Linked DNA regions of Callithrix jacchus. The main gene of each other region encodes a partner of the protein of the gene in region 3 in a complex. Links are inferred from orthologs where the notes say so. Each region holds a gene or a part of one and is shown on either strand. Other genes may lie near its edges. The genes, in order: REV3L, POLD3 and POLD2.

Region 1 (3,655 bases), on a different chromosome or scaffold from region 3:
GTGACAGTCTATAAAACCATCTGTGGGTGTTTTATTTTCAAAACCTCCACGAGTTGTTTTAGTTAAATCACTGGCCAATGCATTATCCTTCTCAGGATTACTATTACAAAGATTATTTTGTACACAATTATCTTTTGCGGATCCACTCTCACTACTTTTGGTAGAAGTCTCCTGATGACCTGCAAGTTTCTTTTTATTCAATTTTAACCGGGATGGTTTATTGCCAGGTTGTAATTTATATGTGACAGGAGATAGTTTCTGTGGTCTAGTAAGACAGTTAGAAAGAACAACACTGGGAAAAAACATATAGTGTGCTGCTTGCTGGCTGAGGCTTGGCTTTTCTGTTTTATGTTCTTGAAATTCTTCGTATCTAATTTTAAGTTTATTTAGTCCACTTTCGTCAGTGGTGCTATTAAGAGAATGCACCATAGTTCTATTCTCCCCTGAGCATGACAGCAATTCACAATTTTCAGTAAATGATGAAGAGAATAAACTACTCAGAGCTGTGCTGTTTCCTTTTTCATTTCCTTCAGAGGATAATTTATTTTTTGAATGATTTAAGTCAGAAAAGTTGAAAGAATTTTTGCCCAATGTATTCTCGTTAGGGTGACGTTGCATATGTATAAAAGGGGAATCCTTTTCGATTTTTCTAATATTTGTATATTTTCTACTTGGTACTTGTCTTGTAACAGATGGAATATCTTCTTCATAATCAAAAATACTACTTTCACATGAAGATACCGGGAGGATGTCTTTCTTACTATTCTCTTTATGAGAATTTTCTGAATGAACACCACTGCTTAAAGATCCAGGATATTTCAAAGAGTAAGTGCTTTCATTTGTAAAAGAAGTGACTGAATTATCTAGACCTTTTTCTATATTTTTGTTTGTCTGTGAAAGGTCTTCAATTAAATCTTCCTTGTTCAAAACATGGGAAGAAAGGGCACTTGTGTGTTTACACTGAAAGGTAATCTTAGCAGAAGATGAGGGTTCTAATGTAGCAGCATCTTTGTGAAAGATGGAGGGTTTGACGGATAGCTTGCTTGTTGCAATTACAGAAGAGTGGGTTCTAGAATTTTCATTGTTCAATGGATTGTCTGAAATGAGGAGGAAAGAATAATTCATTTCACTTTACTCTTTTAATTTTTAAGACATTTTCCCACATCAAGATATTGATACTATCACTATGAAAAAAATTACATAAAATTAAGTTTGTATGTTTAAAATGATTATCTTAACAAAAAAGTAATCCTTATCATTAATAACTCAATCTAAATATAGTTAGTTACAATTATTAGTCATCATTTTAAACACATATTCCATTGATCAGAAATAGATTATATTACTATTCAGCGCCTTTGGAGAATAAGGGAAAAATACTGTCACTTTAAAAATGTTCATAAAATAATATGCTTTACATTATCACTTCAAATAAACTGAGCATACATTTTAGTTTCTTATTCTACTTACACAAGAACATTACAGTTTACAAAGCTTGAAATCAGTAATCAACAAATGTTATATCCTTCTAGAAATGAGAAAGAAATCATATATCTACATTCTTTCAAAAGAAAAAGTTGTGAAAAACAAAACATCACTTTAGCCTTACTTAGCCAACTATATAGAAAATATAATTACAGTTTCAAAATTGTATTTATTTATTTTTGGAGACAGGGTCTTGCTCTGTTGCCCAGGCTGGAATGTCATGGAGCAATCACAGCTCACAGCAGCCTCAAACTCTTGGGCTCAAGTTATCCTCCCACCTCAGCCTCCTGAGTAGCCGGGACTACAGTCATACACCACTACACTGAGCTAATTTTTTTTTTTTTAGTTTTTTAGAGACAGTCTCCCACTATGTTGCTGAGGCTGGTCTCAAACTCCTGAATCCAAGTGATCCTCCCACCTTGGCCTCCCAGAGCTCTGGGATTATAGGTGTGAATCAGGACACCTGACCTCAAAATCAAATATATCTTAGATCGTAAATAGCCAATTTCTCACAGACTTTTTTACTTACCACTATTTTCATCTGCAGTTCCATCTAACTGAGGTATAGAAAGATTGGCTAGAAGCAAACTGTTATCACTCCACTCCATTTCTTCTTCTGAAGATGAGTCATCATCTTCAGTTGAACTTCTGTGGTTACTTCTGCACAGTGATCTGGAGAATATTAAAATTCACTGGTGAGTATGATCATTAGAAAAGGCCATCTCAGATGTAAATAATGTGTCTAAGTTAACTCTATAATAATGTATCTAAGTTAACTCTATAATGTATCCAAGTTACTCTATAGTAAAACAATAAAATCTGAAAATTCTAACTTCTAGAAAAGCATATTTAGTTTGCTTTGTTAACATGTCTTACTATAGTAACTTAGAAAGAGTTATTGTAAATAAACTTTATAACCCTTTTCACAAAGGCTAAAATACACCACAATTCCTGCATTCTGAATTGGAATAAACAAGAACAGAGATGAGTGAAGGGGCACTGAGGTCAGGGCTGAAGAGAAAATACTGAAGATGAGAGAGGGAAGTAGTAAAGGTGTTCAGTCAAGCTGACTATAACTACAAAGTAGGGTTACTGAGAAATTCAGATGGACTGTAAAGTCCAGTCTCTTTAAGTTTTGTCTCATATTGATATTAATTAACTTGATGCTTTCCACTTTAACTGAATTGGCAAACATTTTTTTCTATCCATATCGGTTTTTCTGTCTCTAATCTCAAAAATTGGAAATTACTATTTTATTATATTTATTATACTGTAACTGTTTTTCCATTAAGCCTTTCCAAATCACAATTTGTCATAAAAATCACTCCCTTCAGAGCTGAAAGAGACATCAGAGGTCTAGTCCAACTTTCTACCCAATGCAAAACACAATTTTTAACCAACCTGAGACACTTCTGTTTTCACATAATCTATATAAGGGGATTGCTGTCTCACAGGGCAATCTTTCCATTGTTAATGGCTTTAATTGTTAATAGCTGTCTTCTTGTAATACACAAAATCTTTCAACTTCCATACATGATTCTATTTTGTTCTCTCTAGCTATACAGAGCAGGTTGATGCCATTTTCCTCATGATAATCTTTAAAATATGTAAAGGCATTTCTCATTTATCTTGTAATTCTGATTAAACATTCTCCATTCAGAAGTTCTTCAAAAGTGACAGTGCTCACTAGATCCTTCTAGTTTTCTTCCCCACTATTCTTAAAATATGGTACTCAGCACAGAATATAATATCCAATATACAGAGTAGAATTAACTAGGTCCTTTTCTAGACACTGTGCTTCTAGTATTCAATGACTCTCTAATATATGCGTACAAAATGTTTAGGTTTAGTTTTTACCAAATTGGTTCAGTCAATGAGCATACAAGCATAAATTTAATCACAGGATCAACTATGCCCATTATTACAGCAGCGACGAGGTTAGAGGAAAGAATTTAACATCATATCTGGAGATTTCTATAGCTGATGTATTAAGAAGAAAAATTAAAACATTTGCCATTTACATGTAGACACTGAATTTATGGATTAACCTCTTTCATCTTTCAGTGATGTTTTGGGTTGAAAATTTAGTCCAAAAAAGTTCTAATCTAGCCTACAGAAGTTTAAAGGAGAGGCATACTTAGTCTTTCAGGCTCATAGGCCTAGATTTTTC
Region 2 (3,655 bases), on a different chromosome or scaffold from region 3:
CTGGTATTCCACCACATACTCTCTGGGGATGTCCATTTGATATGAGAAGTATGAAAATATGTGACTACTGGTTCTTTCCATATGAAAGAATTCTTATTTAAACATCTTTTTAAAAATCAAGAAGATTTTTGCTTTCTCAAAAAAGATTTTAAAATATCCATTATTACTTGAGCCCTTCTAATTCACACTGGAAGTAATCTGCAAAAAAAATTTGAAGAAAGGCAAAATATTTACTTTTGTGGCCTCTTAAGAGACAGGAGAAATAATGGTCACACTAGGCAAACTGACTCTAGCATCCATGTTATTAACCTCAACACTTTACTGCTTAGTCAGGCAGCCTTCCTTTTATTTTAATCACCCATTTGCAAGGGCCCTATGAAGCAAACATTTCATTCTCTTTTCAAGGCAGGAAATTAAACCAGAAATAATAAACTGCTCTCAAAGTGATCTTAACTGAGCCTAACTCATCCATAAAGTTCCAGCTGAGTTACTTTCATCGATATATTGGGCAGTACACTGCAAATTTATATTAGATGGAGGTAGTCTCCTGGATAGGCAAAAACTAGACAAAGTGGCTTTCACTTCAGATATAATATGTTATTATATTAACATTCACTCATTAGTCAAAGTAAGGTAAGAACATGCTTACTCATAGCAGCTTTTCCAAAAAAGTTGCTCATCACATTCCCTTTTCCTGGTGCCTTGTTGCCTGCTGAAGATGCCTACAAGCATAGAAAACACATATAATTTTTTGCTAGCATTTAGGCTGTTCATGAAGTAGCAGTCTCAAACAATCTCTTCAATAGCATAGCACATGTTGTGAAGGTATAGTCTCTATATAATCATAGCAAAATGTGTAGCCATTAGATAAAAGAACAAATCTAAAACAGTAATTGAGACCAGATAGTAACTGGTGTTAATCTCTAAAGCTTAGTTTCTTACAGATCCTAACTAAACTTTTCTTGAGCACATTTTAAAACTATTTGTTTTGACAGACAGATCAGAGGCAGTATGTACACAAAGGGGGAAAAACCTAAAACATTACATTTTTAGTCATCAGAAGTAGATCTGAATTCCTGGTTCCACCATTTCACAGCAATATGGGCTCCAGGTAAATTACTTAAATCTAGGTTTCAGTTTTACCACATGCAAAGGGAAATAGTTAACATCTCCCTCACAGAACTGATAAGAGGATTTAAACAAAGACCAACTATTGGCACACAGTTGAAATTCAATAAACTTTAGTGTTTTCCTCCATCCCTTTCTCTTCCCAAGGCAGAAGCTTGAAAATGACAGTGATAATAGTAACAATAATTACACTCTTCTGGATTTAAAAAATAGTATCTTAATGATACTTTTCTTAAGTCAATGCCCTTAAGTTAGTTCAGATGACTGAACAATAAAAAGTTAAGGGGAGCAAATGAAGCAAAAAAACAAAACAAAACAAAAAAATGCATAAAGTAGAATAAGAATGGGAAATAGTCTAGGAAGGAAGGTATATATTGCAAAGCTTGAAATATAAGATGTTCCTCAGAATGATATATTGCAAACAAACATTTTTTTGAACATAACAATTCTCAAGGTATTTTCACATGCATTTTTTTCATTTGGGTCTCACAACAATCTTGTGATGTGCACAAGGTAGACATTACCATTTTACAAAGGAAATCTAAGGCTTGGTGAGAATAATATCAAAAGCAAAAGAACTCTTTTAGATAACAGTATCAAGTATTAAAGGGTTCAAACTAAAGTAGAAAAATCAGAACTGAATATCAGAACCTTATATAAATAAACTAACACTGGAACTATTAATGCTTTTCTAGTTACCCACTCTGAGCTGCAATGAAGGGGTATCTTCAGAGAAGACTTACATTTGTTACTTCTTTTGCCTCTGTTTTCGCTTCCTTGTTGATTTCTTGGGTTTTAGCACCAACTTTGGAGGCAAACAGTCCCATAATTCCTTTGGGCTGCTGGGAAACCTGCTTGGACAGAGTGGGGCCATGACCATTGGTGGTCGGCTCATTGTTGGCTTGTGTCTCACTTGATATGTTAAGATGTGACTGCTCAAACTTTTTGGAAGATGAAGAGGATTCAGCAGGAGATCTAGGGACTGCAGATGCACATTGTATTGCACTAAATCTGGGGACAAGAATGTTGCATTAAGTTAATGTTAGTATATGCAATTCTTGGGTGGTTCAACAAAAAAAAGAAAAAAGAAAAAAAAAAACTAATGTCAATATAAAACCTTATTTTCAAACTCTTGCTTCTGCCACACAATACTTAACTCTAATATTGTTTAAAATCACTTTTAGAAAAATGTTGTACAAAACTCTGTATTACCTGAAGAAACAAATATTGGAGAGAAGTGAGTCACTTGTACGAGGTCATACATCTAGTTAGTAATTGATAGGGTTGGAATTAGGCATCTTCTACCATAACAAATTGAATATTCTTGCTTTTTTGAAAAAAGTATCCTAATCAAAAGAGTAAGAATGCAACCAACAATTATAAAAGATTTAGTAATTTTATTATCCTTGGGAAATGAAATAGCCCTTGTTTTTAAAGGCCTTCCTCTAGTAGGGCTAGATTTGCAATAAATATTGACTGAATCAAAACTAAGCTTTAAATATTAACCAATTTCCTGGCAACTCTCTTGGCCAGAGTAAATCATGCTGTAGGATTAGGTGCATTGGGTCACGCTTGTAATCCCAGCAGTATGGGAACCTGAGGTGGACAGATCACTTAAGCCCAGGAATTTAAGACCGGCCTGGGTAACATGGTGAAACTTTGCCTCCACAAAAAATACAAAAATTAGCTGGGTGTGGTGGCGTATGCCTATAGCCTCGACTACTCGGGAGGCTGAGGTAGGAGGATCACCTAAATCCAGGAGGTCAAGGCTGCAGTGAGCCATGAGCTCACCACTCAACTCCAGCCTAGGGGACAGAGTAAACCCTGTCTCAAAATAAATAAATAATGCTTTAAAACATGGGAGAAGCTGGGAGCAGAGCCACTGGCTCCTATAACCTATAGTCCTTCACAGCAATTTGTTAATAATTTCTAATAATACTAACGGCACCAGACAAGTAAGTATGCCCAAGGCCAAGAGAAGAAAGTTGGTGGAACAGCTTGCGTGGCATATTAAAGGAAACATACATCTCTTGTCTAATTGTTACAGAAGTGCCCTTTCACACAAATCCATAATGTAACATTCCACATTGTGAATGGGTAATTGATTTAGCCTTCCCAAAGGATTATACTTAAAGCAAAGTTCCCCAGCTTTTTCTAACAAAGAAAAATATTTTCTTTTTCCCAGTCTTGCTTATTGAACATAGGTAAGACCTCCTTGAAGTCTTATTTATCTTTTATATTTCAGGCGCCCAGCTCAAGACCTGGCACATAGAAAAGTGTTAGGAACAACATGTTAAAAGAATGACTAAGTGAATGAAAGTAAGGCTTCTGGCTTCTCTCCCTTCTTTAGTGTATCACCTTCAACTAGAGATTTCTAAACTATATGATTATAGTCATTATCTTAGAGATCAACTAGGCACAACTTCAAGATTAACTGCTAGAACACCTGGCTCAAGGAAAAAAAAAATCCCTGATACATCATCTCAGAAGTAACTTTAGACTGGGCAGCCCCAAAGCTAGAGTCAAA
Region 3 (3,264 bases):
CTGAGTAGGGAGCCCCAGGTGCTACCAGTCCTTCCAGTCACCACAATGGGCAAAACCAGTCAGTCCTCCATAGCCACACTGGTGAATTCTCACCTAGGACTCCGGGATGCATGCCTGCTTCCTGGGGTCACTGCCTTTGGATGGAGGCGGGGAGACCCATCTCCCAGCCAGATCACATCCACCCTGATGGCCCCCGACTGCCTGGAGCCTCACCTACCTCCTCAAGAACACATGTGTGCCCAGGCCACATGCCCCCAATGCCCCCCAGCTCCCCACTCACATCATCCCTAACACATCTCTGCTGGGCTCTTCACCCGCATCACCCTCATCCCCTCATTGGGCTACCTACCTGTAACCAACTTTGACACATCAATAGTGCCTTTTAGTTTGATACGCTGCAGTTCATCTTCCAAAACCAGCTCGTCATCTGGGTGGATGTATTTGCTCCGAGAAGGCTGGGGTAGCAGGTTGTGCTGGAGTGCGGAAACAAGAGGTAGTCTTGGGGCTAGAGCCCAGCAAGCCTCTGGTGTTGGTGAGCCAGCACTGCAGCCCCTACCCCTCTGGAGCCCATTACCTCTGAACCTGCTTCCCCACCCCCCTATGCCCTGGAAGGTGTTCTAGGGGAAGGCTGGGTCCGCCTGGCTGCTCCTCTGTGTGGCACCCCGCCTCACCTCCTCGCTGATCTCCCGCAGGATGGAGGGCTGCAGCGGCATGGCTTTGAACAGAGTGCCCACCACACAGCACTTCTCCCCAGGCTGCAGCTCACATAGCTTCTTCACTCCCACTCCACTGCCTGGGACATGACGGGCACAGACTTAGAGATGGAGTGGCCCCCACCCCCTGACAGAGGCCACGGAGGCCCTGACCAGCCCTCCATGAGTGGCCAGTAACAGGGTCCTGGCCGTTGCCAGAAGGAGAGAGCATCAAGTGCAAGGACCCCCTGGACTTCAGGATGACAGTAAAAGGTGAGTTAGCCACAGGGGACCAGGGACTCTGGGTGTGGTTGGATGCCAAGTGTCCCTTATGAGGCACAGAGAGACAGACACACAGACAAGACGGAGTGTGAAGACAAGGCCAGAAACACCAGGGCGACCTCCAGACACCGGAGGAGGCCAGGAAGGATCCTCCCCTCAGGCCTTCAGAAGGAGCCAATCCTGCTGACATCTGGATTTCAACTTCTGGCCTCCAGCACTGCCAGAGGGTAAATGTCCGTTGTTTTAAGTCAGTTTGTGGTGCTATGTTACAGTGGCCACAAGAAACTAATACAAAGTATTGCTTCACTTAAATTACAACACTGATTTTTTTTTTTTTTTTTGAGACGGAGTTTCGCTCTTGTTACCCAGGCTGGAGTGCAATGGCACGATCTCGGCTCACCGCAACCTCCGCCTCCTGGGTTCAGGCAATTCTCCTGCCTCATCCTCCCGAGTGGCTGGGATTACAGGCATGCGCCACCGTGCCCAGCTAATTTTTTTTGAATTTTTAGTAGAGACGGGGTTTCACTATGTTGACCAGGATGGTCTCGATCTCTTGACCTCGTGATCCACCCGCCTCGGCCTCCCAAAGTGCTGGGATTACAGGCGTGAGTCACCGTGCCCGGCCTACAACACTGATTCTTAAAAAGAAGGATGCCAAGTCTCAACACAGCCCTGCCCTACAAATAACTGCCATTTTCTTTAAGACTTTAGATTTTTCCACCCCGCCCTCACCCCCACCAAATGCTTCATCCCCCTTAGAGCAGAGATACTCAAAATGTAGACCTCAGATCCCCTCTACCCATTCCATTCCCTGTGGAGTTAGGTGGCCTTGTTTGCCTGGGGTACCTGGGCACTATCTTCCCCAGCCCCTTCCCAGGATCCTGGGGAAGAGCAGTACACATGGGAGGGGCTTGGCACTCTCAAGGAGAAAGGTATGGAGAGTCAGTGCGGGTGGGAGGGAGGAAAACAGGTCCCTGCAAAGCACACATCGAGGCCTGGAGGAAACACTGCAATGCAGCAGACGCCACATCCTCACCTAGCCCACTCATCTCCCCCAAGTGGCCTAAGCACTGTACATGTAACTCAGCCAACCCTGAAAACATGCCAGGAGTAGATATTATCACCCACTGATGCACAGAGAGGTTAAGCAATGTGTCCACGGGCACACAACTGGGATCCAAGAGTGCGCCCCTGAGTACTGGGCAGAATGATCCCTGCAACCGACAGCAGGACACGCTTGCACCCAGGCAGTGTGCTGGCACTGAGATCAAAACTGCACACAAAGGCCAACACTTGCCCCACCGAGCCCACTGGGTCTAGGCGGGAGAGCGACAATAGGCCATAAGCAAGTAACTCGCCATGGTGACAAGTGCTGTGAACAAACGGTGAGCTGAGGTAGAAAACGGAGACCCTGGTCGGGCACAGTGGCTACAGGTGGCCTCTCAAAGAACATGACGCTTCAGCTGACAGTGGGGCTGAGATGGGGCCACAGGAAGGCGAGGAAGAGTGTGCTAAGTGAAGGGAAAAGCCTACAGTAGGAAGGGCTGGGCAGGTTCAGGGACCAGGTCAGTGGAAAGACCAATTTGGAGAGATAAGCTGAGCTTCAGTGAGGTAGCGCAGACCACACGGAGAAGCCACGTGGAGGTGTTCAGGGTGATGGCCAGCATCGACCGCCAGGCCTGGGAGTGAGCACTACCACTGCCCCGCCGCTATCAACACATTCATCATGGCAACTGTTTGGTTTCCTGGCCAGTGTGTGGGCACAGTGAAATCACTGTCGTCCACCACTGTGGAGCTATGTTGGCAGCTCCAAGGACTGGAAGAGAAATGTGCTACCAGAAAGAATCAGGAAGGTGGCACTGACATTGCAGCGAGTGGTACGTGAGCTCTAAAAGGCGCCAAAGAAGGTGTCCTGATGGCTGAAAGTGAAGAGAAGCTACCGGAGCCGCAGGAGGGAGCCCCTGGTTCTGTGGGAGAGAGAGGTGAATAGCACTTTTGTCTCAGATAAAACAGAAAGCATCCTGATATGGTTTGGCTCTGTGTCCCCACCCACATCTCATCTGGAATTGGAATCCACATGGTGTTGATGGAGGGACCTGGTGGGAGGTGAGTGATTGTCAGGGTGGATTTCCCCCATGCTGTTCTTGTGATGATGAGTTCTCATGCGATCTGATGTTTTAAAAATGTCTGGCAGGTCCCCTCACTGTCTTTCCTGCTATCATTTAAACATGCCTTGTTTCCCCTTTGCCTCTGCCATGATTGTTAAGTTTCCTGAGGCCTCCCCAGCCAT

What was found.
Region 1: POLD2 (region 3) and REV3L share a complex: the UniProt entries of both Homo sapiens proteins name them as parts of the tetrameric Pol-zeta complex. The link is inferred for Callithrix jacchus from reciprocal best matches to the Homo sapiens genes POLD2 and REV3L.
Region 2: POLD2 (region 3) and POLD3 share a complex: the UniProt entries of both Homo sapiens proteins name them as parts of the both the DNA polymerase delta and DNA polymerase zeta complex. The link is inferred for Callithrix jacchus from reciprocal best matches to the Homo sapiens genes POLD2 and POLD3.

What each region holds. Positions count from the first base shown.
Region 1 is NC_133505.1:117,613,775-117,617,429, forward strand, and holds part of REV3L (DNA polymerase zeta catalytic subunit), read right to left. Parts: intron 2,158-3,655; coding exon 2,015-2,157; intron 1,098-2,014; coding exon 1-1,097. UniProt on the Homo sapiens protein: Catalytic subunit of the DNA polymerase zeta complex, an error-prone polymerase specialized in translesion DNA synthesis (TLS). Lacks an intrinsic 3'-5' exonuclease activity and thus has no proofreading function.
Region 2 is NC_133511.1:66,339,418-66,343,072, forward strand, and holds part of POLD3 (DNA polymerase delta subunit 3), read right to left. Parts: intron 2,140-3,655; coding exon 1,872-2,139; intron 723-1,871; coding exon 650-722; intron 1-649. UniProt on the Homo sapiens protein: Accessory component of both the DNA polymerase delta complex and the DNA polymerase zeta complex.
Region 3 is NC_133512.1:12,208,293-12,211,556, forward strand, and holds part of POLD2 (DNA polymerase delta subunit 2), read right to left. Parts: intron 794-3,264; coding exon 672-793; intron 474-671; coding exon 350-473; intron 1-349. UniProt on the Homo sapiens protein: Accessory component of both the DNA polymerase delta complex and the DNA polymerase zeta complex.